Linked DNA regions of Canis lupus familiaris. The protein of the gene in region 4 binds, or shares a complex with, the protein of the main gene of each other region. Links are inferred from orthologs where the notes say so. Each region holds a gene or a part of one and is shown on either strand. Other genes may lie near its edges. The genes, in order: MED20, MED12, MED25, MED13, MED16, CDK8 and MED23.

The links.
Region 1: MED13 (region 4) and MED20 share a complex: the UniProt entries of both Homo sapiens proteins name them as parts of the mediator complex. The link is inferred for Canis lupus familiaris from reciprocal best matches to the Homo sapiens genes MED13 and MED20.
Region 2: the proteins of MED13 (region 4) and MED12 are in contact, whole or in part, in a cryo-EM structure (PDB 8TQC), measured with the Homo sapiens proteins. The link is inferred for Canis lupus familiaris from reciprocal best matches to the Homo sapiens genes MED13 and MED12. Residues at the interface, in NP_005112.2 of Homo sapiens: Ser157, Glu158, Thr336, Val337, Pro339, Gln340, Ser341, Gln343, Lys344, Trp345, Lys347, Phe348, Asp1186, Ile1189, Leu1190, Gln1193, Asp1194, Pro1332, Ile1333, Thr1335, Leu1337, Tyr1340, Asp1341, Tyr1342, Asp1343, Tyr1344, Leu1345, Val1346, Leu1347, Ser1348; in NP_005111.2 of Homo sapiens: Ala3, Phe4, Arg12, Pro13, Arg16, Leu86, Thr123, Thr127, Thr150, Pro152, Val153, Met154, Arg155, Phe242, Pro278, Leu281, Arg282, Arg356, Pro357, Phe360, Gly361, Cys364, Gln367, Thr368, Cys372, Pro407, Glu408, Phe413, Val417, Lys1526.
Region 3: MED13 (region 4) and MED25 share a complex: the UniProt entries of both Homo sapiens proteins name them as parts of the mediator complex. The link is inferred for Canis lupus familiaris from reciprocal best matches to the Homo sapiens genes MED13 and MED25.
Region 5: MED13 (region 4) and MED16 share a complex: the UniProt entries of both Homo sapiens proteins name them as parts of the mediator complex. The link is inferred for Canis lupus familiaris from reciprocal best matches to the Homo sapiens genes MED13 and MED16.
Region 6: the proteins of MED13 (region 4) and CDK8 are in contact, whole or in part, in a cryo-EM structure (PDB 8TQC), measured with the Homo sapiens proteins. The link is inferred for Canis lupus familiaris from reciprocal best matches to the Homo sapiens genes MED13 and CDK8. Residues at the interface, in NP_005112.2 of Homo sapiens: Thr1616, Met1617, Asp1618, Arg1619, Lys1621, Val1622, Gly1623, Ile1624, Pro1625, Thr1626, Asp1627, Gly1628, Asp1629, Ser1630, Val1732, Lys1733, Thr1734, Leu1735, Thr1736, Gly1737, Phe1738; in NP_001251.1 of Homo sapiens: Leu9, Glu12, Arg13, Arg71, Lys74, His75, Pro76, Leu81, Gln82, Lys83, Val84, Tyr133, Asp137, His140, Tyr141, Met330, Gln331, Phe335, Leu336, Leu340, Pro341, Thr342, Ser343, Asp344.
Region 7: MED13 (region 4) and MED23 share a complex: the UniProt entries of both Homo sapiens proteins name them as parts of the mediator complex. The link is inferred for Canis lupus familiaris from reciprocal best matches to the Homo sapiens genes MED13 and MED23.

What each region holds. Positions count from the first base shown.
Region 1 is NC_049233.1:10,766,663-10,771,046, reverse strand, and holds the start of MED20 (mediator of RNA polymerase II transcription subunit 20), read left to right. Parts: upstream 1-1,577; 5' UTR 1,578-1,716; coding exon 1,717-1,730; intron 1,731-4,384. Other genes in the region: BYSL (bystin), read right to left, coding at 893-1,160. UniProt on the Homo sapiens protein: Component of the Mediator complex, a coactivator involved in the regulated transcription of nearly all RNA polymerase II-dependent genes.
Region 2 is NC_049260.1:55,693,262-55,696,860, reverse strand, and holds part of MED12 (mediator of RNA polymerase II transcription subunit 12), read right to left. Parts: intron 3,504-3,599; coding exon 3,383-3,503; intron 2,999-3,382; coding exon 2,897-2,998; intron 2,768-2,896; coding exon 2,654-2,767; intron 2,402-2,653; coding exon 2,226-2,401; intron 2,043-2,225; coding exon 1,863-2,042; intron 802-1,862; coding exon 730-801; intron 275-729; coding exon 141-274; intron 1-140. UniProt on the Homo sapiens protein: Component of the Mediator complex, a coactivator involved in the regulated transcription of nearly all RNA polymerase II-dependent genes.
Region 3 is NC_049222.1:107,412,684-107,416,975, forward strand, and holds the start of MED25 (mediator of RNA polymerase II transcription subunit 25), read right to left. Parts: upstream 2,885-4,292; 5' UTR 2,828-2,884; coding exon 2,694-2,827; intron 2,598-2,693; coding exon 2,552-2,597; intron 2,321-2,551; coding exon 2,196-2,320; intron 1-2,195. UniProt on the Homo sapiens protein: Component of the Mediator complex, a coactivator involved in the regulated transcription of nearly all RNA polymerase II-dependent genes.
Region 4 is NC_049230.1:34,701,908-34,705,506, reverse strand, and holds part of MED13 (mediator of RNA polymerase II transcription subunit 13), read right to left. Parts: intron 3,188-3,599; coding exon 3,087-3,187; intron 2,353-3,086; coding exon 2,220-2,352; 3' UTR 1-2,219. UniProt on the Homo sapiens protein: Component of the Mediator complex, a coactivator involved in the regulated transcription of nearly all RNA polymerase II-dependent genes.
Region 5 is NC_049241.1:58,254,297-58,257,895, forward strand, and holds part of MED16 (mediator of RNA polymerase II transcription subunit 16), read left to right. Parts: coding exon 1-409; intron 410-898; coding exon 899-1,004; intron 1,005-2,598; coding exon 2,599-2,754; intron 2,755-2,884; coding exon 2,885-3,096; intron 3,097-3,599. UniProt on the Homo sapiens protein: Component of the Mediator complex, a coactivator involved in the regulated transcription of nearly all RNA polymerase II-dependent genes.
Region 6 is NC_049246.1:13,130,753-13,134,351, reverse strand, and holds part of CDK8 (cyclin-dependent kinase 8), read left to right. Parts: intron 1-1,750; coding exon 1,751-1,894; intron 1,895-3,599.
Region 7 is NC_049233.1:336,045-340,437, forward strand, and holds the start of MED23 (mediator of RNA polymerase II transcription subunit 23), read left to right. Parts: upstream 1-1,519; 5' UTR 1,520-1,626; coding exon of another isoform or gene 1,627-1,731; coding exon 1,732-1,779; coding exon of another isoform or gene 1,780-1,913; exon of another isoform or gene 1,914-1,916; intron 1,917-2,128; coding exon 2,129-2,160; intron 2,161-2,329; coding exon 2,330-2,417; intron 2,418-4,393. Other genes in the region: ENPP3 (ectonucleotide pyrophosphatase/phosphodiesterase family member 3), read right to left, coding at 1,627-1,913. UniProt on the Homo sapiens protein: Required for transcriptional activation subsequent to the assembly of the pre-initiation complex. Component of the Mediator complex, a coactivator involved in the regulated transcription of nearly all RNA polymerase II-dependent genes.

The DNA.
Region 1 (4,384 bases), on a different chromosome or scaffold from region 4:
TAAGTGACCCGGAGGTCAACACTTACACCCTAAAAAATTAAAAAAAAAAAAGACCATCTTTTTATTAGTCTCTCTCCCTCTTTATAGCACCTAAACAATATCGTTCATTCTGCTTAGAGCTCTCTCTCCACTAGTTTTCAGCACCAAAGTCATGTAACCTAGGAACCCTGACCCCCAAAACTAATGCTCTTGTTTTAAGATGAAACTATACTTAAAAAAAAAAAAAAAGATTTTCATTTATTTATTTACAAGAAACACACAGAGAGAGGCAGAGGCATAGGCAGAGGGAGAAGCAGGCTCCCCGCTGGGATCCCGACGCGGGACTCCATCCCAGGACCCCGCGATCCTGCCCAGAGCCCAAGGCAGATGCTCAACCACTGAGACACCCAGGTGTCCCAAAACTATACTTTCATCATGAAATGTATTATTCGAATCGTCAATTTAATTGTCTCTCAGGTTAGACTGTAAGATCTTGAAGTCAGGGTCATGGCTATCTTGCTTCCTTTTTTACTCAAAACCATCTAAACTCCTACCTAGCACAGTGCAAAGTACGGACTAGACAACCTACAAGAATGTACAGAACAGATGGATAAACGTTAGGAGTGCTCAATAGTGTGACCAATTAACTTCTTGTTGGTCTAACTTAGAGACTGCCTAGACGCAAGCATCTAAAGCAACAAGTGGGCATAGAGAGCTCTGACCACCCTGAATCTATTCCAGGGCTGGGTCTCCCATTTCATCACCTTTGCAAGGGTGTGATGCGGACTCCTTATTCAATTTCACTTTTTTTATTCCAAAGGATTCCCCTGGCAGAACCTTTTGGCCGTCTATCTACTTCCCCCTCCCTCCAAAACTAACCACCCTCTTCCTGGCACCCCCCTCCCCCACTTACCCAGACGCGTGGTGCGCTCGCGCGGGGCTGCGGCCTTGTTCCCAGTCCCATGCTCGGTCTCGAGTTCCTCCTGTTGCTGCCGCGCTTGCTGCAAAATCCGTCGGGTCAGCCGGGGCCCCACATACTCTTCGTCCTCCTCTCTGGTCCCACGACCCCGCCGCTTCTCCCGGGGCCCTGCCCGCGCCGCGTCCCCAGCCAGGATTTGCTCAGCCAGCGGCGCATGTTTTTCCTGGCCTGCAGCTCCGCGAGCCGGCTTGAATTTGGGCATTTTTTTCCAGAACTCTGCCAGAAAGGTTTACACGTGGGGTACAGACGAGGAAAAAAAAAAAAAAAAGCCTTGAGCGCACTTGCGCCGTGAAGTCCCAGCTCCCAAGAGGCCCCCGCGGAGCTCACAGCGCCTCCCGGCGTCCGGAGGCCGGGAAGGCCATCAGCGCCGCCACACCCCGTAAGAGCGGGGCCTGGAGCCAGCCGGTCCCCGAATGAACTCACTGCTTCTAACGCTGGCTTCTGCAAGTGGTGGCAGTCCGAGCGGTGGTTTTCTACTTTCATAGATCGAGGACCTCTGTTCCCAGCCAAACGTGGACTTGCCTAGCTGCAAAGCCGGGGCCAGAGTTGGGTAGTGACGTCACTGGAGGCGTCACCGAGGAGATGCCTAGACCTGCCCCTGTTCCTCGTGGGCGCGTCGACTGGACGCTCTCCTTTTGCGTCATTTCCGGAGCACCTCCCTCGGCCGAAGCTTTCGTTAGGGGTCTTCACTTAGTGTGGGCGGCCAGAGACTACTGTGATCCGATTGTTTGTTCCTGCCATCCTCCTGGCCCGATACCATGGGAGTGACTTGGTAGGCCCGCAGGGGACTTTTTTGGGCGGCGCTCGGGGTCGGGAAGGGCCCCGGAGCCCGGAGTGTACCGGGAGGAGGGCCGGGACCAGGGACCGCGGTCCCCCATGAGCTGATGAAGATAAGATATCTTCGGAACGTGTGGGTGATGGAGACGCTGCGAGGGCTGCAGATTCTCCGCGCTTGTTTGCTCGGAGACACTTCCCTTCGTCCTGAAAGGCGGCAGGTGAAAGGTTTTGTCCCAGGAGCCCATCAGTGGTTGTGTTCCTCCTTCCCAGGAGGCCATAGGGCTGCCCGAGGTGGAAATTAAGGATGCCCGAACTAGGACCCAATCTACAGGCGTAGCTAGAGGAGGTAAAGGATAGGCAACGAGGAAACCGTCTTTTTTTAAAGATTTTCTCCTGCCCCTCCCTACAGCCACTTAATGCAGTTAGACCGGCCCGTGTCTGGTTCTGGTGCGGCCGTCTTAAGATTTTCGGTCTAGAGGGAAAAAAAAAAAAAAAATAAGCAGCAGCAGCTGTTGGGAGGTAGATTGGGGTTTAGGCACGTCACCTCTTCAGAATTCGTTTCCTACTATGTTTAATTGTATGGTTGGTGTAACTAATTACTATGGACTTTTAATCTCTCAACATGATATAAGTGGGGTGGCAGAGAAAGGTATGGGCCTAATGCTCTTGGAGAAAATGCTAGATTTTAGGGATTGTTTTGTTTTGAGTACCGGTAAGTATTAGCACGTTTCTAGTTAGGGCTGGAGCCTGTGGGAACCACTCTTTTTTTAAAAAAAAATTTTAATTTATTTATGATAGTCACACACACACACAGAGAGAGAGAGAGAGAGAGAGGCAGAGAGAGGCAGAGAGACATAGGCAGAGGGAGAAGCAGGCTCCATGCGGGGAGCCCGACGTGGGATTCGATCCTGGGTCTCCAGGATTGCACCCTGGGCCAAAGGCAGGCGCTAAACTGCTGCACCACCCAGGGATCCCTGGAGCTAGTCTTTCTGATAGCTCAGGTTCTTGTAGGCTTGTCGGTTACTGCACCTGTGTTTTCTGCAATGGATATTTTAAGCCTTTTCTAAGTTTTCTAGTGTAAGGGAGTGTATGAGGGTTGGAAGGAAAAGCTTGCAGCATAGAGGCTTGGAACCTGAAAGCCCCTGTTCTTTCAGCAGAAGACAGAAAGATGGAATGGGCCCTCAGTCTGTTGGGACCCTTAGCAAGTATATCACACTCCTGGTATTTCGGACCCGTGTAACGTCAGTTTAGATATTCTCTTATGTTTGTCAGTAAAGGCACGTTATCCATTGCTTCTGAGTTCATCTTCTGATGGAGAGTAGGGACAATTTTTAGCAACAGCAGTAGTCCCTCCTTTCCTCCCTCCCTCTGTGGTTGATTGATCATAAAGTAATGTCTTTGAGAATTCAGTAATATGTATGGTTTTTGTTTAGTTAAGTGTACCACCTGAAGTATTTATGAATTTTTTTTTTTTTGAATCTGTTTAGTTTTCTTAGAAGCATTTTAACCGGCAACTACTTGTTTAGGGAAGCAATCTAGTATAGTGAATAAGAACACAGACATGGAACCAGCATGCCTGGCTTTGAATCTTGGCTATACCACACCAAGCTATGTGACTTTGTGCAAGTTACTCAACCTCTTTGTTCTTCAGTTTCCTTACTTATTACAAGGAGATAAATAATAGTCATCTTCTAGGGCCGTTGTGAGGATCCAAATAGTTTATTTGTCTAAAGGCCTTTTGGACACTGCCTGGCACGTGGTTGGTGCTTAATGATTGTTACCTACTACTATTTTTTTTTTTTAAGATTTTATTTATTCATGAGAGACAGAGAAAGAGAGAGAGAGAGAGAGAGAGGCAGAGACACAGAGGGAGAAGCAGGCTCCATGTAGGGAGCCCGACTCGGGACTCGATCCCAGGTGTCCGGATCAGGTCTCGGGTTGAAGGCAGTGCTAAACTGCCGAGCCACCCGGGCTGCCCGTTACCTACTACTCTTAAGGGGAGGTCGGTTTCACTTACCATAGAAGGAATCTTGGAAATAACATTTTTATCTCATTGTTTTGATTTTATTTTTGTACATATCGTTGCCTCTGACTCCTAAAGATTACAGACTTGAGGCTTGCTTTCTCTTTGATCCTAGGGCTGTTGAATAGAATTTTCCATATTGGCGGAAATGTTCCATAACATCACTGTCCAATATACTAGCCTCTGGTCACATGTGGCTATTGAGCCTTTGAAATGGGGTAGTGCAGCTGAGCAGTTGAAGTTTTAATTTAACTTGTTTTATTAGTTTAAGTGTAAATAGCCACATGTGGTTTGTGGCTACTGTACTGGACAACACACCTTCAAAATGTTAGAGAATTGGTAAAAACATACTAACCTCAAACAGATTTTCCTAATTTAGGCAGAACTGAAGGAATTGCAAAGGACATCAGTGTTATGGATTACTCTGTGTGCCACCTAAAACTGCTTGAATGTTGGCACACGTGTCCTGGTTGGAAAATGCTGCTGTGATAGGAAGTTCACTAAGTTGGTAGGAGTGTCCTGAGACCTGTGTTCTAGTTCTTAGTGGAGCTGTTAGGAACTGTGAGCCTCTTATTTCCTCATCTTTAAAATGAGAGAGACGTTCAGGATACATGGTCTCTAAGATA
Region 2 (3,599 bases), on a different chromosome or scaffold from region 4:
CAGAGGAGCCAGGCAAGGGTAGAACAAGCCATGCTCTCCCTGCCCAATGGACAGGCCTAGTATCTCTGTGAGACTGAAATCATTTACACTATGAGAGAACAAGTCATAAGGGGAGGGGTCTGAATGCATTTCTACCCAACCTGAGCACTGGCTTTGTTTTGCTGCTGCTGGGCATGTTGCTTGTGGTGCTTCCAGAAGATGACCCTGTCTCTGCTGACTGTTGGAAAACCTCGATTGTGGCCTTGGCGATGTTCTCTAAGAGGGAGTTCATCTCCTGGGGAGGATGAAAGGCACAGAGGTGCTCAATAGGTAACTGTGATAGGAAGGAAAACAGACGGCAGGAAAGATGGGAGATGAGGGCGGAGAAAGGCATCTGGAAGGTAATGAGAGGGAAAGACACAACTCTGCTGAGAGCCTGCCCTCCAGAGCCTCCCTATTTCTCCAATTCCCCCACTGTCTTCTCCTCACATGCCTCCTTACAGTTGTGACCAGAGAAACTGCCTCCCACCACCACCATCGCCAATCTTCCCCCACACCACCGAGCCCCAACATTCCTGACCCATTTCCCCCTACTCATCAGCCCCATGCGTTTGCCATCTTCCCACCCTCTCTTTCTCAGCTCAAGAACCTGAAGTTCCATAGGACACAGGTTCTTCTATGGTAGCCCACACCCCTGACACATGGAGCTGGAAGTGAGCATGGGACAGAGAGGGCCAGGTGCCAACTCACATTGTTAGGGGTCTGCTTGATCATGAGCTGCAGCTCCAAGGAAGACTGGCGCATGGTCCACTGGTCCAAGTTCTGTGATGGAGACGCCACCCCTAAGCTCATCATCATCCTGTCCCCCCTCTCCATTTCCAGCCACTTACCCCCCACCCTGACTAAGCCACCTCCTGATCTCTCACAACCTTGAAACACATATGCCTACAGGTCTGAAAGGAACTTCCACGTCCCCATCTTTAGGAAAGACTACACCAAAATGATCCAAAATCGTTGAAAAATCTAGCCTATTTTAAAAACGGTTCTGGAAAGATTTCCCATCTTTCCCCTGTCTCCTATTCCAGAGCTTCACATTCCTCCACATGGGTAAGTTCTGCTTAGCACTTACCCTAAATCTTTGATGTTAAAGTTGCAGGCTGTTTTAAACCAGCTGTTCAAAGTCCTTTACAGACCCAAGGGCTAATGTGAGTTAATCTCTCTTTAACATTATCTCCTCTGGGCTGAAGAGACTCATTCCTGTAGCTCTTTTAACAGCTTTATTTCTCCACCCTTCAGTTACCTGAATGCCTGAAGCAGCATGGCAAAGTGGAAGGGGCACAGGCCCACCTGGGCTCGCACCCTGACTCTAAACTAGCTGTGTGACCTTGGGCTAATTACTTAATAAACTCTTCAAGCCTTGGTTTCCTCCTTGGTCAAACTTGGCCACTCCTACCTACTTTCTGGGGGTTGGGACAGATTAAATGAGAAGATGGACATAGAGTGCTGAGCACAATACTCGGCATGAAGCTGACACTTGGTAATCAAGAGCTATGAAGTACTACTGCTGTTCGTTACTGAGCTGTGAGCAAACACCAAACAAGCAAGGCCTTAAACAAGGCTTAGCAGATGTTGTGCCGCCTCTCACTGATAAGCTACAGTCCCAGATAGCCATGCCCTCATCCAGCAGTTGGCTCTAGGGTCTGGACTGCACTGGCCTGACTTCAAAACCCACATGGGGGCTGTTGCTCTGACCACCTTTTGCCCACATCCTTGTTCAGTCTTCCTACTTGACTAACCCCCTCTTTTTCCCTCAGGGTCCCCATTGTTTCACCCAGGGCCTGGGCCCCACTGCTTCCTCTAAGACCCTCACCACCTTGGCCTACCTGCAGAATACGCTTAATGCGCTGCCGCTGGGGGTTTTCCCCGTCCTCGTTGTCCAGCAACCGATGTGGGTAGCAGATGAGCTGCATGAGGCGCTGGGCCTGGGCACTACTCAACACTGGGTCTTGCAGGTCATTGCTATCCTCACACAATGATTTAAGGCAACGCTCTCCTACCCATTCCTGAGGAAGTAGATAACCAGGGCACTGGGGCAAACAGTGAGTGGGGGTAAGGAATAAGGGGGAGATGGGCTGGGGGTTGATGAGAGACGTGATGTATAGTAGGAAGGTGGCATGATCAGGGCTGGAAACAGGACATTATTATATAAAGGCATTTGGGATGCATGGGGGGAAGGTGAGACTGACCTGTTGGCAGATGCTGCGCAGCACGTACTTGGCATAGACATCCAGACTGGCTGTCTCCACAGAGATGTTGCGGCCACCCTGCCTCCGACCGCCACTGCCACCTCCTCCCTCCTCCTCTGGAAGTTCTTCTGTTCCTCCTGTCACAGTGAAGCCTGAACCCTTCAGTTCCGCATCCCCTGTGGTTCACGGGCGGGAGATAGGGAGGGCAGAGTGAGATCTGAACACGGTGTAGAGACCCACCCCAGACCCACAGAAGCAGCAACTCCCCCAAATCCTGCCCTATGGGACAGAAATATACTTCCCTCCCTCCTCTCCTCCCCAAAGGTCAGAGAGACCACCTTCAGGAGGGAGAAAGACTTTCCTTTGTAGTTTAGCTGGCACTCCACCCCACACACACTTCTGGCACCACTCCCTTCCTACCCCCATACCAAGTACAAATACTGCCTTGAGAACAGCAAACACAGCTCCATCCACGATGCGGTTCTGGGAGGCAGCCAGCAGGTGGCGGTCACAGGAGGAACGGATTCCTACTGTAGGCTTGTCTGGAGAGGGAGCCCAAGTCATGAGAAGCAAAAGTAGATCCAGTGGGGTGCAGGCAGTGGGTGGGGCGGGGGGGGGGGGGAGCAGCCACACTTTCTACTGCTGGCTAGGCCCAGATCAGGGTCACTTACTTCCATCTGACTGGCAAGGATTGAGTTGAGGCGTCTTGAAAAGGTGGAGGAGGATGCGGCAGGTCAGCCGGGCCCCTGGCTCAGAGTCCTGCTCACTGCAGGCTGCAAAAAAAAAAAAAAAAGGAAAACAAAGCAAATTGGACAGGGCAAAAGTGGACTGTCCGTGGGTTTGTGGGTGGCAAGGGGCTAGAAGGGAAGGCGAAGTCAGGCAAAAGGAGAAATAACAAGATAATGGGGGAGGAGAGACAGAGCAGTCAGCTGTCTTGCAGTGTGATGGGGGGGGGTCCCTTAGGAGGGTCACAACAGGGAAGGATCAGGGCAGTCAACACAGCGTTAGAAAGAGGCCGCTCTGGGCCCGAGGCCCATCACACAACTGGCCTCTGGTGATAGCGGGGAGCCCCACACTCAACAGTGAGGGTGTGGCCATGGAGTGTGTAGTCAAACTTGGGATCCAGAAATTCTAAGGGTTACGGACTGGTGGTTCACCGGCATTAAGGAGTGAAGGGATGGCAGCACAGCGAATCAGATCCTCAAGGAGCAGACATTGCCGAGCGATGAGGATGGCAACAAAAGTAGCCAGAGAGTCATGAAAAGACAGGTCACTGACCTGGAGGACAAAGCAGACAAGACATCTCGACTCAGCCTGCAGAGAGGGGGCCAATTCAAAGCAGTAGGCCTCCACTCTGTGGGACTCTGTCTCTTG
Region 3 (4,292 bases), on a different chromosome or scaffold from region 4:
TCAGGTCATGATCTCAGAGTCCTGGGATTGAGCCCAGGTTTCGGCTTCAGGCTCTCTGCTCAGAGGGGAGTCTGCTTCTCCCTCTCCCTCTGCCACACTCTGTCTCCCTCTCAAATAAATAAGTAAAATCTTAAAAAAAAAATTTATATATATATATATAAAATGCATTCTGGGCATTCACTCACATATTCCCTCATTCCACCCAGTTCTCCTTAGACCGCCCTGGTGCCAGACCTTGTGCTTGGCGCTAGGGACTTAGACATCAGACTTGAACTTGGGCATCAGGGAGTCCCGTCTTACCATTATTCATGTCTTAAAACAACCTATCTCGGTACTTCTCATTTGGGGTGGATTTTGTCCTTCCCTACCCCCTGCCTCAGGGGACAGCTGACAATCATCTGTAGACGTTTTTGTTGGTCACAACTTGGAGGTGGCTCTTGGCACCTGGTGGCTAGAGGCCAGGGAGGCTACTGAACATCCTGCCATGTGGACAATCCCCCACAATAATGAATTATTTGGCCCAAAGTGTCAACAGTACTGAGGTTGGGAAATCCTACTCTGTCCTGACTACTAGTTCTAATGGCCATGAGGGGTCAAACTTGGGTGTCAACTTCCCAGTGGGCGTGCAGCACCTAGTCCTGCACACACATAGCCTGGAACAGAGCAGGCACTCAGTTTGCTAAGTAGCAAACTCTTGCCGTACAAACGAATGAAGAGAAGAGCCATCATGAACCAGTGCCGTTTCATGAACTCTAACCACAGACCAGACCTGGGCTAGGCAGTATGAAGGCACCATAGGAAAATTAGTTCCTGTGATCCTCCAGAGAGCATGGACATTTGAACTACCATTATCTATTCACAAACCAAGAAACAGGCATGAAACAACAGTGAACACTAACATAGCACTTAATACATGTCAGGTGCTGTTTTAAGTAGTAGCCAACTAACTCATTCAATTCCCAAAGAATGCCTATGCCTATGAAGTCATGGTAGCTAGCACCCCCCACCCCCAACAATCCCCACCTCCTGTTATTCACACCCTTGAGATTCACCTCCCCTCATGCTCCCTGCACTGAACAGGACTGACTTCTCTACCAAACAGAATGTGGCAGAGACAACGCTGTGTGGCTTCTAAAACTCGATCATAAAAACTCTTGTAGCTTCCTCTTTGCCCTCTCTGTTGTGTTGCTTCGTCTGAAATAAGCCAGCTGCCACGTCAGGAGAACATTCCCCCAGCCACAGAGTGAGCTACCTTGAAAACAAATTGGTCCCTTGCATGACTGCAACCTCATGAGGCCCTGAGCCAGAACTATCCAGCTAGGCCAGTCCTGAATTCCTTACTTACAGAAATGGCATGAGATAATCAACGTTTATTGTTTTGAGCAACTAAGTTTTGGGATAATGTGTTACACAACAAAGAATAAATAACACAATAAATAATTAACACAAGTACTATAATGTTAATCCCCCCCTTTAAAGAGACAGGAGATAGGGACGCCTGGGTAGCTCAGTGGTTGAGCATCTGCCTTTGACTCAGGGCATGATCCTGGGGTCCAGGATCGAGTCCCGCATTGGGCTCCTTGCAGGGAGCCTGCTTCTCCCTCTGCCTATGTCTCTGCATCTCTCTCTGTGTCTCTCATAAATAAATAAATAAAATCTTAAAAAAAATAAATAAAGCGACAAGAGATAAACTACATTAGGCACAAAGGGAGCAGGGACTCTTGGGTCTGGGAGTTTGATGGTTTAGCTGTGATATGACCACAGGCTATCTGTACCCGCGGGAGCCTGCAATGTGAACATTCCAAATCCCATTCAGAGCACAGAGAGATCTATCCTGGCCTAGGCCCCACGCCCCCCTTGCACTCAGGCTTCAAGAGGCCCATGTGAAATAGGAATACTACGGTGGAGATGAGGAACAGCCGACCAAATGCGGAGAACCACACAGTACGAGATCGGAGCTGGAGCTCAACAGGCCTCCCAAACTGAGAAGATTTTTCTACTTCCACATCGGAGGGCAAAAACGCTGAGCACACGGAACCCACCACAGAAGTGACTTATGGACAAAAACAATCCCTCTCAGTCCTTTCAGCCACCCAGTGTGAGCGACGGTTCCTGAAACTCAAGTCAAGCCGCCATCCGTTCATGGTCCCTCACAGGGTCCCCCAACCCACCCCCTAACACAAGAAAATGCTCACTTAATGCCATCGAGCCAGGTGACAAACTCATAGGCGCTGCTGGTGGGAGCGTGACACTGTACGTAGGACTCGGGAGCGCAGTCCACCGTGTTGAACACCACGAGGCTGTACTGGGTACCCCCATACTGGGAGAGGAGGAGGGAGGAACTTTTCATCTGGAACTCCCGTCCAGCTCTTCCGCCCTCCGACTCAGGAGTCCGGTCCTGGACTCCTCCCCACTCAGACTCTGGAGTCCATCCCCGGCCCCCTCCGCCCCTCGGACCCTGGAGTCCGGTCCCCGGGCTCCTCCTTCCTCAGACTCAGGAGTCCGGTCCCCGCCTCCCTCCTTCTACAGACTCAGGAGTCCCAAGACTCACGTCTCCTCCGAAGTCCGTCTCGGCAGGAGGACCACCATTAAAATACCTGCGAGGGTCGGAGGTAAAAGGTCGGGGTCAGGCAAGAGACTGTGGAAAACTAAAGTCGGAGGGCCGGGCTGGAAGTCGGGGAAACGGCACTCACTCGATGGCCGGAAGCAGGTAGTGCTTGCGCAACCCTTCGAAGTAAGGCCCCAGGTTGGCTGTACCCTCGATCACAAACACCACGTCAGCCACGAGGCCCCCGGCGCGGGCCGGGCCCTCCGACCCGGGGACCATGCCCCGCGCAGCAGCCGCCACCGCCGCCACCGCCGCGGCCGCCGCAGCCGCTGTGGAAAGAGCGGAAGTGCGCCTGCGCTGCGCGCCCCCCGGCGCGGGACGTCTTAGCGCCGCGGCTCGGCGCGCCCGCGGCCATGTTTGTGCGGGGCACGCAGGGCGCGCTGGTTCTATCTCCATCCTCGTAGGTACCCGCCGCGTGCAAGATTAAGAGCATAGCGAACCCCTTCAGGGGCCTGACGGGGAAGATTGGGTCATTGTCAGGACTGTGGAGAGTGACATACATGGAGAGAGCCGTAGTCGGCCGCCATCTTTGAGCGAGGCGCCCGCTCCGCCTCTGGTTTCAATGGGAGGGGCCGGAGACCTGGTTGCTATGCAACGCATACGCTGCCCTAGTTTTCTATCGGCGAGATTAGGTTTCTGGTTAATTTTTTTCTGCCGCGGAGAGATGGGGGGAGGGTCGTGTGAAGGGTCCAATCACATCCTCTGAAATGGCGCTACTAGGCAACGCTTGGGGTTGCCGGCCACTCGGAGGGGAGTGCAGCTGTTCTTCCCTCTCAAAGAAGCCCAATTCCAACCCAAGTGGCGGTTGCTAGGCAACACCTGATTGTTGTTTTCTGGGAGAGCGGCCAGAAACTAGCCTAGAACATAAATACATTCCAGGTGGATTAAAAATGTAAATGCAACAAATGAAACCTTAAAAATAGCTGAAGGAAGAAAGGAACACACCGCATAATCCTGAAGACTGGGAAAAGAGTTTATCATCATAGCAAAGCCAGGAAACGTAAAATATTGATCAATTTGTTCAAAAGGCTCCATAAGCCAAGTTGAAAAAAAAATATGATAAACTGGGAAAGTCGTTTGTAACATGTATTGACTGAAATTTTACTACATAAATATAACTTACTCATCAATAAAAACGTAGGAAAAGAGAAATACTTTTTTTTTTTTTTACTGGTATGAAGGCTCTCTCTTCTCCCATACAAAACAATTTAAAATGGCAATTAAACCCCTGAAAATTGCTTATCTTCACCAATTAAAAAGCATTTTGCTTTTGTCGTGCTAATTAATATCGGAAAGAATGATGCCAATGAAGTCGGGGGAGTTTGGGCTCAGACATAGTCTAGAAGGGGCTGTAAATCAGCATAACTTGCCCTCCTGCCGTTTGGTAATGTACTTCAAGATAAAAGGGTGCATTCCTCTTGCATACAGTTATATCACCATTTTGTCACATTTACCTTATCCGTCCCTTTTTGCTTTAATTTTCTTTGCTGAAGTCTTTTATTATTTTTATTCTTTTTAAAGACTTTATTTGAGAGAGACGGATTGAGATAGTGACAGAGATAGCAAGAGAGAGCAGGAGCAGGGAGGAGAGGGAGAAGCAGGCTCCCCACTGAGCAGGGAGACTGACTGACTACACAAGGCCCAATCCCAGGACCCTGGTATCCTGAGCCAAGCAGAAGGCAGA
Region 4 (3,599 bases):
ATAAGCTAGTGATATTAAACAACTGAGAATATAGCTTTTATTTTTAAAAGTCACTACTGAGCTAAGTATATAAAAAAGAATACTTTTTATAGAAATTCCAAATAAGCATCTTTCCCTCAAATCTCAGACAAGTTTTTTAAAGTACAGAACAAAACATGCCAACATAATCTGTAGTGTGCTAGCATAATTTAAAAATGAATGCAGAGATGTGATCTTTAAATTTTAATGTCAAAAATGCTGACCATTGGAATTGCATTATAATTTTGAAGAAGTGATTGAAAACCTTTGTCACCAGTTGTGTGTTCTTTATAGAAAAAACAAGACTTGCTAATGTTTAATATACACAATTTGAAGAAGTTATATTGTTCATAAGAAAGTGATATTTAAGCTAAGCATATAGTATTTACAAAACAAGTTTCAGTAAAAACAAAACAAAACATACCGAATTACAGTTTTGTAAATACAACTGATTTTGTCCTTGTGGAGAATTAGTGACTGTACAAATTCGGAATTTTGCTAGACTGCTTCCAAGAAAGATAGGTAGACTTGGTGACTGTGAATTCAAGTCAGCAATATAGGTAGGAGGCTAACTTGGACTCTCTTGTGAGCAGCACTGTAGAAACATTTTAAGGGGGTAAAGCCTGCATAAAAGCATTTTTCTTGGCATGTGCAAACAAGAAGGGGGAAAGCTGTATTGAAGGAAGGGGTGAATTAAAGTCCCTAAAATTCAAGTCCCTTCTTTAGGGAGGTGAGAACCTCCTTGGCATATGCCCTGCCTTAATCTGAGCTGTGTTATAGAAAAGTACAGACTCTGGTGTTTGGGACTGCCATCTCCAAACCAAGAAAATTAAATAAATAAAAAAGGCAAAAGGAAACAGGTTAAGTTTAGAAAATGATTCTTTAACTAGTGGAATAGAGTCTGAATACCAGAATTCACTGAGAATCTATATACACCACAGTCTGATTGCACACACACACCCATACATATGCATACTCTCACACACATTCCCAATCTTTAATTTAAAAAACAACAACAAAAAAGTCAAACAATCAGAGTGACTGTTCTTAAAATAATTTGTAAAATGCCTAGAGCTGGGCTAAATTTCAACCTCATAGCAGATCCTGAAGATAATTTTCATAATTAATAATATTCCCATGCCTAGATGTGCCACTGTCAAAACTGGAAAAAAAAAAAAAAAACATTTAAGCATGTAACATTAAACACCAAAATTAGTTTAAGCATTCAGTAGCAAATGTTTTTCTTGTAAAACTAAGTTTCTTTCACTGGAAATGGCCTGAAATATTAGTCATAGCCCTAAACCATAGTACAAAATATAACTGAAGAATTCTCATTTTATTCTAAGTTAAACCACCCAACAATATCACTTGTATATTGCCATCATGTTATTCTGTAAAGGTGTGATATATAAAATGCTGTAAGACCCGGTACCTTTTCAATTTATAAACACAGTGAACTTCATTACTGTACATGTACTCTGCAACTACAGCTTAGCTGTAAATCCTCCACACACAATGGTATGGACATTATTCCCCCTCTATCCCCATTAAACTGTACATTGAGACAATACAAATTTACTGTCCCACCCACCCCCTTACAAAAAAATAATACTCTAAAAGCAACCCTACTGCAACTTTTTAATTAAGACGATTACATATATTTTAGACCAATTGCTTTAAAGCAAGAAGGCAGTATAAACCTTCTAGGAAAATTTTTATAAAAGAGGTTAAGAAATATAAGACAATTTATACATTTAAAAACTTACAATAAATAAGAGATGCAGGCATTTTTGAATACTAGATACTATAATCCAATACAAGAACATCTTGATGTTCTGAAGCCATATGTTGAAATTCATTGTTCCTCATGTTTCCTCTCCATGCTTTTAATATTCATTTAACATGACTGGGTACTATGGCTCATTACTTTTCACAAATACTGTGACTGGAAAAAAAAGGTTAATTTTGCTACGAAAATGTTATAATACGTTTTGTATGATCAGTCATCATCCTAAAGAGTTCAGTATAGTCAATGAAAAATATCAGGGTTATAGCCCCTCCCCCCAAGTCAAAACAATATTTGTTGAAGTAATAAGTATTAGACCCCATCACAGATGACTTTCACTGAGAAGATAACTCAATCTTGCAGCGAAATATCTTTTTTCCTTGTTCTTTTCTTGCACAGTTCTGTCGAATGAAGATCACAGCATATTCATGATAAAGTTATATAACTGATTCAGCACCACAAAATGAATTGGGAGACATGAGCGTCTGTCCTGGATTGCAGGGTCACAGGTTAGCCAGGAGAGTGCATTGTACTGTTCCAAAACAAACCTGAAAAGTAGAAGTCATGTATTTACTTTCACTGTAGATTATGGAAGCAGTTCCCAATGATGGCATCTAAGATTCAAAGTCACTTAAAAAAAATGGTGGAAAGTATGGAATAGAGTCCTTGGGGAGATTAAAGACTAATTTTCATAAAAAGTACTTTCAAAAGTAGATTACACATGCTAGAAAGGACTCATTCTAAATGACCTAATTCATCTAGAGATCCAAGGGTACACAACTGTAAATTACTGCCAAATGTGAGAATACAAAAGGATCAGTACATTCTTTCTTTTAAAAAAAACCAAAACGTCTTTTCTCTTTTATTTATTCATGAGAGACACAAAGAGAGAGGCAGAGATACAGGCAGAGAGAGAAGCAGGCTTCATGCAGGGAGCCTGATGTGGGACTCGATCCTGGGACTCCAGGATCATGCCCTGGGCCAAAGGCAGATGCTCAACCGCCGAGCCACCCAGGCATCCCCATTCTTTCTTTTTTTAAAAAAATTATTTATGAGAGAGAGAGAGAGAGAGAGAGAACACAAGCAGGGAGGAGGGGCAGAGGGAGAAGGAGAAGCACACCTCTTGGTGAATAGGGAGCCTGACATGGGTCTTGATCCCAGGGCGCCAGGATCATGACCTGAGCCATAGGCAGACGCTTAACCATCTGAGCCACCCAGTGCCCTAATATTATATTCTTTCAAAGATACAATGAAGAACCTTTAGTGGTAAAAAGATTTATACCTGAGGACATCTGAAGTCTGATTTGAGTCAAGTGGGTGGGAGTGTTTACTGTGAAGCAGCTCGTCAGATTGCACTGAAGGCACGTGGAGGTGCAAAGAGGCCTAAAAAAACAGGTAATCAGTCAGCCAAATGGAAAAGTTGTTGGTTTTACCTTATTTTCCCACGGTCTCGTCCTTGATGAAATACATTTTAGACCTATGTGATGAATGGGCACCACTATAAAGATGCTTCTTGTTCTTGCTTACAGAAGTAATTTTCAAGTGCATAGCTTATATTCAATCTTACTTTATTTTCTTTAGCTCTATTTTTAAGATCACATAATAATCCTAAAAGAATTTACATAAAAGTCATTTAAAGTTATCTACTTTTTCAGTGTAACATGCCTAGATGTGTCAATGTTTAAGGAAGCACTAAGCTGATAAACCTCAAGAGTCTGTCTACAGGTTACACAACTTTAGACTATGCACATCCACATAGGTCTAGCACTGAAAAATGTAACAGGAGTAAGCATAT
Region 5 (3,599 bases), on a different chromosome or scaffold from region 4:
GAAATTTTCCCGCGTCAAATTCTCGCCATCCCTCACGCTGTTTGGCGGCAAGCCTATGGAGGGCTGGATCGCCGTGACCGTCAGCGGCCTGGTCACCGTGTCCCTGCTCAAGCCCAGCGGGCAGGTGCTAACGTCAACGGAGAGTCTGTGCCGGCTGCGCGGCCGTGTGGCCCTGGCTGACATCGCCTTCACGGGTGGTGGCAACATCGTGGTGGCCACTGCGGACGGCAGCAGCGCCTCCCCCGTGCAGTTCTACAAGGTGTGCGTGAGCGTGGTCAGCGAGAAGTGCCGCATCGACACCGAGATCCTCCCGTCGCTCTTCATGCGCTGCACCACGGACCTCAACCGCAAGGACAAGTTCCCCGCCATCACCCACCTCAAGTTCCTGGCCCGCGACATGTCGGAGCAGGTGCGCCCTACTGGGGGGCGCTCCCCCGGCTGCAGCAGCTCCACACGCTTGTCATCTTGAGTTGGGTCAGGAGTCTGATGCAGGCCTCATGATGCTAAAACCCAGGCGTGGACGGGGCCGGTCACCCCTCGTCTTCCCCGAGGCCCCAGGGAGACCCCCTCCTGCCCTCCACCTTCCAGGGGTGCCCCCTTCCCAGCCTGCAGCCCCTCCTCCGTCCTCACCACCAGCAGTGCAGGGTCTGCCCATCTCTGGGGCTTCCCCCCCTCCTCCCTTTCGGGGGGACCTGGTGAAGATGCTGGGCCCCAAGGCCTACGGGGTCCCGGGACTTAGGGACATCTTTGGGGTCATTTTTGGTGGTCACCCAGGACTCCAGCATAACCACGTGTCAGTAAGGCCCCCAACTTCATGGAGCCCTGGTAGTTTCCTCAGCTCCCACTGCGATCCGCGGGTGACGTCTCCATTCCAGCTCCGCCGTCCCCTGCACCCCAGGTGCTCCTGTGTGCGTCCAGCCAGACAAGCAGCATCGTGGAGTGTTGGTCCTTGCGGAAGGAGGGGCTGCCTGTGAACAACGTGTTCCAGCAGATCTCACCCGTGGGTGAGTCTCCCCGTTCCCGGGGGCGCTGGGCTTCCAGAGCAGGAGCTGTCCCGAGTAGCTGCACAACGTCGGTCCCCCTCCTCGTACGTGCTCTGCGGCCGCTTGTCCCGTCCCGGAGAGCCTGTGGTCCTGAGGCTCAGAGACGCGAGTGCTGCCCGCCGTCCCACAGGAGAGTGGCCTGCCTCACCCTGACCCTCCTGGGGGAGCATGTGGCTGCTTGAGAGAACAGCAGTGCAGAGGTCCTGGGGCAGAGGCCAGGAGCCAGTGCGGCCCAGCCCGGCGGGGGCAGGGCACAAACCGGCATCGCAGCAGGGCTGGGGGTACACGCGGCCCCCTGGCTGCAGGGGGTGCTCAACCCTAAAAACCAGAGAGTCCTCCACAAACTCTGGTTTATGGTCAGGGCCCGACTGAGCGTGTCTTCAGCTCATGCATGGGCTCGCCTCCCCCTCCCCTGTCCCGCATCCGTGTGAAACCCCCCGCTCTAGACACCGACCCCCCCATGGCCCCCGGGACGTGCTGGCCCAGCCTGACCGCTCATGAAGCCCCTGGACGCCCCCAACCCCAGAGCTGAGAGCGGATGAAGCCTCCCGTGGGTGGGAGCCCGGCTCTGTGCCGATGGGCCTAGTGGGCCGTGCAGGAGGGGGCGACCGCCGAGGAAGCTGTCGAGGCCCCGCGGCTCCTGTCCCCTGCCGTGCGGGGCAACTAATGAGCGTGAAGAGGTTCCCGGCTCCCCTCCCACAGAGCCCCCTCCTCCGTGAGCTTGGTGGTGGCGCGTGACTGCTGTGGTGGGCAGGGCCATGGGGTGCAGCCCCCGCCCCCAGCACACAGGGCACCCGGCCCCAGGGCCAGCCTGGCCACATAGCGTTGGTGCCACATGGAGGTGCAAGTGGCTCTGGGTGGCCTGGCCCACTCGTGCTCCCTGGACATCGCTGTGGCTACCGTTAAGCTCTAGCCTCCAGGTGGGACAGAGTCACGCTCTGTGGCCTGAGGCATCTCGGTGCTCTCTGACCTCAGTTTCCCCTGGGGGACAGCGCTTGCCGGGACTCCCTCCCTGGGCTGGCAGAGGGTTATAGTGGTGACATGCCGTCAGGGCCCAGCTCTCGAGGTGGAGGGGTCGGGGAGCTGTGATGGTCAGCTGTCCCCAAGCGACAAGCCTGCCCGACTCTGGCTCGGAACCGCAGCTCCAGGCTGTCCTGGGAGGGGCTGCCTCACTGCCGGGCGGCTGGCCTGCCTGCTGTCAGCTGCCGGGCGCCTCGTCGCCCCCCACCACGCAAGTGTCCGTGGGCTTGCCCGGGCGCATCCCAGCGCGTGTGCACCGTGAGTCTGCTCATGTCACATTTGCCCACAGCCACTGGCCACGCCTGGGTTCATGGAAACCACTCCAGCAGTTGGAGGGGGTCCTCGCCATGAGGACCACATGTGGTGCCAGGCATCCACGTGTGGCCCCAGCCTTACCAGGCTGGCAGGGTCTGGGGGTGCCGCCCTCGTCGGGGCCCCGGGTCCAGTGGGGGCACGGCAGCCTCGCCCCCCGGGCAGGGGTGCACCCCACTGGGGTCTCATCCTGCTCTGTTTCTTGTCTGCCCCCCGTTTTCAGTTGGCGACAAACAGCCCATGATTCTGAAGTGGCGGATCCTGTCCGCCACCAACGACCTGGACCGCGTGTCTGCCGTGGCGCTGCCTAAGCTGCCCATCTCGCTCACCAACACTGACCTGAAGGTGGCCAGCGACACCCAGTTCTACCCCGGCCTCGGTACGGCCGCCCGGGACGCCCCCTCTCCCCCGGGCAGCCCCTCCCTGCCGTCAGGGCTGGGCAGGCACCCGAGCTGCTGCCGGCGCCCCCGGCCCTCCGCACGCCTGAGCCGCACGCATCCCGCCCGCAGGGCTGGCCCTGGCCTTTCACGACGGCAGCGTCCACATCGTGCACCGGCTGTCGCTGCAGAGCATGGCTGTCTTCTACAGCTCAGCGGCCCCACGCGCCGCGGACGAGCCGGCCATCAAGCGCCCACGGACCGCCGGCCCCGCCGTCCACTTCAAGGCCATGCAGCTCTCCTGGACCTCTCTGGCCCTGGTCGGCATCGACAACCACGGGAAGGTAAGCTCAGAAGCCACCTGCCTGGGCGGGTCCTGCTGCTTGCGGCCCGAGGCTCCTCACCTCTGCCCCCCGGGGTCACACAGGACAGCTCTGGCCTGTCATGTGCACGTAGCAGGTGCTCAGTACGCAGGAGCCGTGAGGACGGGGGCTCTCCACCACGTCCACTTGCTAGAATTGAACAGGTGCCGCACGTGAGCCTTCTGCGGGTGCGCGGTGCGCGTCCTTGCTGCCGCCGGACCCTGGCCTGGGCCCTGCCGACCGGCGAGCTGGGCACGCTCCCCCCCTCATCCCCGTGCGGCCCGGCCCCCGCCTCCCACACGGACTCTGGACCAACTCGGCTCTGAGTCGCTTTTCTTCGAGACCCGTACCTGCCTCTGGGTCCCGTCTGCCCCGTCCTGGGCGTGTCCCCATGGTGTCCTAGTGTCCATGAGGCCGGCCAGCCCACAGGCCTCTCCTCGCGGTAGGAGCCGTGCTCCTGCAGAGCAGGGGCTGTGTTTGCGGGG
Region 6 (3,599 bases), on a different chromosome or scaffold from region 4:
ATATCGCTTTAAGGATAGCTACACCACTTACGTTTCATCTGCCTTTACATAGTTTTCTTTAGAATTTTTCATAGCTAACCAGAATGTGTTGTTATGGTGTCTTTTGGGTGCTAGGAGTAGAGTTTTAAACATGCAAACTGACCCATAGGCTCAGTTTTGAGAGCCTTTTGGGTGCTAGGAGTAGAGTTTTAAACATGCAAACTGACCCATAGGCTCTCTTTGTGATGCTCCTTAGCTTACCTTTTAAGTAAGATTATCATAAGTCAAGTTATCATATGGGGTACATATGTAAAAAGAATAATCACAAAATAATTTTTCTGTTACTAAAAACAAAATAGTTTGGCTTGTATCTCTTGATACTTTTCCATATGATGGTATTGGCTAACTTGGTTCTCTGATGTGGGAGAAAACTGATATGCAAACACAATGTCCTTTTTAAAAATCACTTGCTTGTGGTCAGGGTGTTTAATCTTACTAAAAAGATTACTGCCTTGTTAGTATGAAATAGAAATGTGATAATTTTACATTAAAGATCTATATTCCAATTTTAGGGTTTAGGAATTCTGAGTTATTTTATAAATTAACATTTTTTTCTCATTTTCTATGTATGTGACAGTTATTAATAGACCTGGGTAATTGGCTTTAATAAAATAGTGGTTTTTATTTTTCCCTCTATAGTTATTTGTATTTACCACAGGTTTTGGTTAGATCAGTCAAAACACACTCACATTCATTGAATCTCTGCTGTGTGCACACCATTGTACTTAGTGTAGAGAAGTTAACTTTGTTGGTTTAGGACTTTGTTAAAGTAGAAACTGAGTAATTTCAGTTTTAAATTCTAAAGTGGCATGTAGATCTTTCCTCTGTTAATAACAGTTCTATTGAGTAAAAGTTTAATATGAATGAAAATTAGCTTAAATCTTAAAGTGAATGAAAGCAGTTTGTTGCACTACAGAGGAATCCATTTGCCTGGCTTTTTATAAGTAAGTCTAGTAAATTTGTACCCTTTCCACCTGTCTTAAGGTAGGATTTTGTTCCCTGTTTTCTTGTCCTTATTAAATTGCAAAATCTGACACTATCGTATCATAAAGAAATACATTGAAGGAAAAACTGTTCAAGTAGAAATGCAGTTTGATTAGGTGAGGCATTGTCTTTCTCCTATTGGAATAACACCTTGCTAATTAGTGCTAGCATGAGGGGATAATTATTAGACTTCACAAATTAGCATGTACATAAACTAAAGAAAAATATTTCTACCTTAAAAAATTGGTGCTGATTGTTTTTGGCAAGTATACGCAATTTCAAAGGCTATTTGGGTTTTCTGTTTTGGTTTTATTTTTTGTTTAATTTTGTTTGTTTGTGGTTCCTATGCTCCATATGCAACTTTGTGTGTATTTCATAGATAAGGTATGTTTGAAGCATTTAAAAATTGCCAAAAATTTAGCTAATAAATTTGATTTGAACTTGGAATGAAGCCACTGGGTATAATGGAGATGTAATAGGGAATGAAAAATTGGGGTGGGTTGGGTGGGAATATATATTTACAAATAATATTCCATGATATTTTAATTATAATTGCTTTAGAAATTAATATGACTTATTAGGAAAAGAAAAGAAAGAAAAAACACTCCCCACCAAGATAAAAATGCATTTTCTTTTGGAAAGAACCACTTTATTTTCCTCCTTTCTTTTTCTTTTTTCCTTTCCTTTTTTTTCTTTTCTTTTTTTTTTTTTTCTTTTTGTTTTAAAGATATTTGGGCTATAGGGTGTATATTTGCAGAACTACTAACGTCAGAACCAATATTTCACTGTCGACAAGAGGACATCAAAACTAGTAATCCTTATCACCATGACCAGCTGGACAGAATATTCAATGTAATGGGATTTCCTGCAGGTACACATTATGTTTTTGTTTTTGTTTTTAAATCACTGTTGTTTGAACCTAGATATCTTCATTGGAAAGGTGTATATCTTTAGCTGATGGAAGCTACTCTTACTCAATTCTTTATATTTATGACTTGCATTAATCAAAGATCCTTAGGAATAGCAAAATTTATAGAGTTCACATATTAACATAAAGATATCTATGGGTTTTCTGAATTTGAGGAGTATATTTTTGTTTCATTTTATTTTTTGTTTTGTTTTGTTTAATATTTGAAATGATAAAATATTTACGATCTCTGTATTAAAAGGTGCCTTTAATTCTTACAAAAGGAAACTAAATAAAATTCAGTAGTACGTATTTCTGTCTGGCAACACATATAATAATGCCAATATTTGGGATTTGAATACAAATTTTTAACATTTTTTATATTTAGGGCACTGTACAGAATCACATTATATTGAATAATAGAAGTTTTTTATCCTATAACCCTTGCTGGTAAGAACATTCTTTTAAGTGTTCTGTTAGAACAGCAACCTTGCCTGTACTGATTGGCAGCAGGGAGAAAGTTATTTAGGTGTCTCATCATAGGCGTTAGACCTCTCCAACTATATCCCCGTCCCTTGTTATGCCATAGCATGGTAGTTCATCAGTCACCAAAACTCTCCCCAGAAGTCTAGAATAATGAAAATGGCTAGCCAGGTATTTATTAGAAATTGTTTCTTATTAGGAATTATTCTCAGGTCAGAATAACTCTAGACTAATACAGAAATACTTGGGAGTTATAATTTCACATTCCCTTATAGGAGTGTTAACACAGATACTACCTTTGTGCAGAATTGGTCAATGGGCCTGTGAAGACTACTTTATTGTGATTAATTTTATTTGTTCACTGAATATTTGAGGACCTGCCATCATGTGCCAGGCACTGTGTTATGCATAAAATAATGTTGATATAACAGGCATGATTCTTGCCTTCTTGGAGTTTATATTGTACTGCTCTAAATAGAAATGTTTAAATAATAGCTATGGTTTGAGTAGATGGAGAAGAATGACCTTTTCTTTCCACTTCTGAATGTGTCCACCATTTCTAAGGCCCAGGGGAAAGGAACATGGTTTACAAGGGGATGGAAGAGGGGGTGACCTCTGTAGGGATGATTCTTAATGTGTAGTTCAACAGTTAGGGGAGGCTTAGCTTATAAGAAATTTGAAAAGCAGACAGTAGGGTTTAGATTTAATGTGCAGAAGAATGAGAATCCATGATAAGTTCTTGAGAACTAGTGACATGGTTTGTTATATTTTAGATTACTATGGTAATGGTAGGTACAAATCGATTAAAGAGAGGTAACTGAAGTCAGGGAAGCCAGCTGTTTGCCTGTATAACAGTACTCCAGGTGTAAAGTGATAAATGAGATGGAGATAAAGGACAAATAGGGACTTTTTTTTTAATAGGAAGTATATAATTGAGGGAAAAGTAAAAGATTGCTCAATCTAGCTTGAAAAATGTCTAGCTTGAGAAATTGACAAAATAGAGAAATTGGAGCAAGGAAATAATTAAGGAGAAAGCCCCATCGAGGAGTTTAAAGTATATATTCAGTTGACTTTACAGTGTGATATCTTTGGGGGAGAGGTAGCACATATTTGTATAAGTAAGTCGAAGGCAAACCTCTAAAGGCCATTTAAAGGCTAGTGGTGTGGTTAATTAAGCTACGTGTTG
Region 7 (4,393 bases), on a different chromosome or scaffold from region 4:
GTGGGACTCCCAGGATCATGCCCAGGGCAGAAAGCAGATGCTCAACCGCTGAGCCACCCAGGCCTCCCCGTGTTTACCATTTTTATACTCCAATACTACAAATGTGTGAGAGTTCCAATTGTTATGATAATATCATATTGTTTCAATTGCTGTAGCTTATTAGCAAGTCTCAAAGTAGAATAGCTTAAGTTCTCCAATTTTTTTTCAAGCTTATTTTGGCTATTCTAAATCCTTTGTATTTCCATATAAATTTTATTTATGTATTTTTTAATAATACATTTACTTTTTATTGGTGTTCAATTTGCCAACATACAGAATAACACCCAGTGCTCATCCCATCAAGTGCTCCATATAAATTTTAGAATCAGCTTGTCTATTTGACCAAAAAATGCTGGAATTTTTATTGGGATTAAATTTAATCTATAGAGTAATCTGGGGATAATTGCTATGTAAATCATATTGAGTCTATATATATATATAGAGAGAGAGAGAGAGGAAACAGAGTGGAAGCATGGAAATCTGCCAACTGAAAACTCTTACAAGTCTACCTGACTAAAGATAGTCCAAAATAAGATAATATGTTTAGCATACAAAAAAGAATAATAGATTGTTACGCTGCTTAGATTTTAATAATTCTGGCCCTGTCATCCTTCTAGCTTGGACATCCTACAAAATTGATTCCTGCAATATGGTTCATTAAGTATACCTAATATTGTGGCTAGTGCTGAGCAAAGAGTGAACAAATATTTCATAAATGAAGTACTGTACTACTTATGCACAAAGGTGTTACATGAGGATAAAGAAGAGACCCTACATCAGCTTGAGCGAGGAGGGCAGGCATCCAGGAAAGAGTCAAACTAGTGCTTGGAAGAACACAGCGGTGGAGGGGCACACCCCACAGCGCACTTAGCCACGGCTCTGACACTGCAGATGGATCAGCCTTCCTATCTACCAAGGTTTCTCCACTTCTACCCTCACCAAAGAAGCTCTAGGTATTCAGAAATTGATAAATATTATTTTAGATGATTATAACTAAAACGGCAGACATAATTATTTTATTATTCTAATTAAAATTCAGTAATAATGCATTCATTTTTTTTTACCCCCCGACCTTTATGTTAAAAGCTTGCTATGTGTCAGGCACTGTGCAAGGCACTGGGGTTACCATACTTGAGAAGACACGGTCCCTGTCGTCAAGAAAAGTGTGGTTTCGACTCTTGGCTCCAGAAGATCAGCAGCTCTCACAGACAACAGGTTGACCTAGGTTGCAGGTGGAGCCCTTCTCCCTGGCTGCCATTCCCCGGGCTTCAAGCTTCTTTCCTTGCCAGTAGGCAGAAGCATCAGCCTGGAGCAGGAAGGAACTCCCGTTCCAGCCGGGAGGTGGCGGCCTGCAGCCGACGACGCCTCAGGGTGACTTGGGGTCAAGGCTCCACTTGGTGGCAGTCTCGTCTGGCTCGGCTGGCCGCCCTTCTCCCCCGGCGGAACCAACTAGCTGGGGGCCTGGTTTCCGCAGGGTTGCTAATCCACACGCACCCGACGCTTCCCAGCTTCCGTGCAAGCGCCGCGGTTTGCTGGACGGGGACGGGGGTCCACTCGGCCGAGCGCTTCAGAGAAAAGAAAGCTTACCCCGCCAGCTGAAGTTTCTTGCGGGCTTCCGCCCCTCGGCCGGTCAATTCCCGGAGCTTGGGCCTCACCGGGCCGCGCGCCCAGCGTCCAGGACGAGCCGGGGCGATGGTGCAGATGGAGACGCAACTGCAGAGCATTTTTGAGGATGTGGTGGTGAGTGGAGCCGCCGGGCGCCGGGGCGGCGTCTGGGGGAGGGAGGGGCACCCAGCAGCCGCCCCGGCCAGCGCCCCCCACCTCTCCTGTTGTGGCCTCTCGTACGTCTGCAGGGGTCTAGCGCGTCCCAGCATGCTGTCAGATTCAGTCTGCACTGAAATCCCCAGCACCCTTTGTGACAGGCCCGGCCGGGGGGGGGGGGGGGGGGGGGCGGGGGTATTTTGTGCGTGTGGCGGGTCAAGGTGACTTGTCCTGTGTTACACTGTAATGTCGTCTTAGGGGCGTCCCCCCCTTTTTTTATTTTTATTTTTTTTACTTTTTTACACCGCTTATTTTTCTTTTTTTACAGAAAACGGAAATTATAGAAGAGGCTTTTCCTGGGTGAGTGTATACGTATATGCATGGCAGATTTTTGTGTTTTTACTTGAGTGTCTTTGGAAGATGTGACTCAGGTTTGCCTTGGAGGCACGCGAGATCTGTAAGATTCTGGTTATGTTGAATTAATTCCCCCTCAAGAACTAGTAGCAAATCTGTGATTTTTGCTTTTTAGAATGTTCATGGACACCCCTGAAGATGAAAAGACAAAACTAATTAGCTGTCTGGGAGCCTTCAGACAGTTTTGGGGTGGTCTTTCTCAGGTGAGCACTGCATTTTTTTACTACATCCAGGTCATGATTTTTGATGCCTCCTTTTTTACACTACTTTGATGTTGCTGCTAAGGTTCTTTTGGAAAGGGAGACATTAGTGTCATCATTTGTTATATGTGTATTCTGGTTTCCATTTGTTTCATTTTGTATTCTTCCAGTGGAGAACCAGTATTAAGAAATCAAACTGATGATGGCACATTGTGAGACACCTATAAAAATCTCCCCCATGTTAGATTATATAAAACACTTCATCCTACTCTGATTTATTTGGTACATGTGGAAACAGCTCTGGTAGCAATTGTAAAAGATACAAATTTCATTCATTTATTCAACAGAAGGAACTAGCAAAACATTGATACAGAGATGCTATGATTAAAGATACCATAGTAAGGGGATCCCTGGGTGGCTCAGTGGCTTAGCATCTGCCTTCCGCCCAGGGCGTGATCCTGGACCCAGGATCAAGTTCCACATCCGGCTCCCGGAGTGGAGCCTGCTTCTCCCTTTGCCTGTGTCTCTGCCCCCGCCCCCCCCCCCCCCCCCGCCCGTGTGTTTCTCATGAATAAATAAATAAAATCTTTAAAAAATAAATAAATAAAGATACCATAGTAAAGATAACAAAGATGCCACAATAAGGATACTATAATAAAGATACACAGATCTTCTAAGAAAAATGAGGAAAGGAGCAGTAGAACTTAGTAACAAAGAACAGTCACCAGAAAATGTATCCATGAAAAAGACAAAATGTGTGATCCTTAAAGAGCTGGTGTTCCAGGAATGTATTATCTTCTGATGCTGCATTATTGGTAGGAAAATGAGAACTGTTTATATTTGACCACTGGTGGTAAGACTTACTTCCCAAACATGGGGTTACATAGGCATAAATCTTGTGGGTTTTGTTTTTTTTATATAAGATTTTGTTTATTTATTCATGAGAGACGCAGAGAGAGAGAGGGAGGCAGAGACACAGGCAGAGGGAGAAGCAGGCTCCGTGCAGGGAGCCCGTTGGAGAACTACATCCCAGAACTCTGGGATCACGCCCTGAGCCAAAGGCACATGCTCCACCACTGAGCCACCCAGGCGTCCCTTAAATCTTGTTTTAATTGTCTTCGAATAGGTAATCTATTCATATGGCTCCAAATGCAAAAAGTACCAAAAAGGGGACCCAATGAATAGTCTGCCTTCCATCTCTCTTAGCTTACACCTGCTCTTTTTCGTATCAGTAGCTGGTATTCTCAGTTTGTTGCCTTCTGGAGGTATTTTACACATATAGGATCAACTTTTATAGAACATTCACATAATGTGTTCACTGTTCATTAGCCCTTTTCCTCTTACTATTAAAATCTGAAAATAATTCCACGTCAATCCATTGAACGTTATTTCTGCCTTTCTTTTTTACAGCAACATAATCTATTATATGATTGCACCTTCCTTTAACCAGTCCCCTGGTTTTTCTTAACTACTCCAGTTTAGGTTATTTAGGTTACTTCTTAACTACTCCACTTTAAACAATACTACAATGGACAATATTGTGCACAGGACACTGAATAAATTCCTGGAAGTAGTATTGCTGGGTTAGAGGGTATGTCTACTTAAAATTTTTATAGAAATTTCCTGATAGCTTTCCATAAGAGTTATACCAATTTGTACTCCTCTAGGAATGTGTAAAAGTATCTGTTCCCTAGGGCCTCACAGTAGGTTGTTAATAAATTTTTTTGATGTTTGCTGATCTAAAATGAGAAATTCTATCTCATTATGGTTTGTTTTGTACTTCTTTGGTGTTGAACATGCTTTCAGCATATTTTAATAATTCGTTAAACAATTTATGAATTAAGGATGACCCTTGTTTTTCAGAAATTTGTATTCTAATAGAGGAGCCAGAAAAAAAATAGATCTTTCTAAATCGGCATTATACATTCCAATAGAAGTGTGTATGAGGCACAGTGGTAGTGCAGAGAAGAGGACATGTA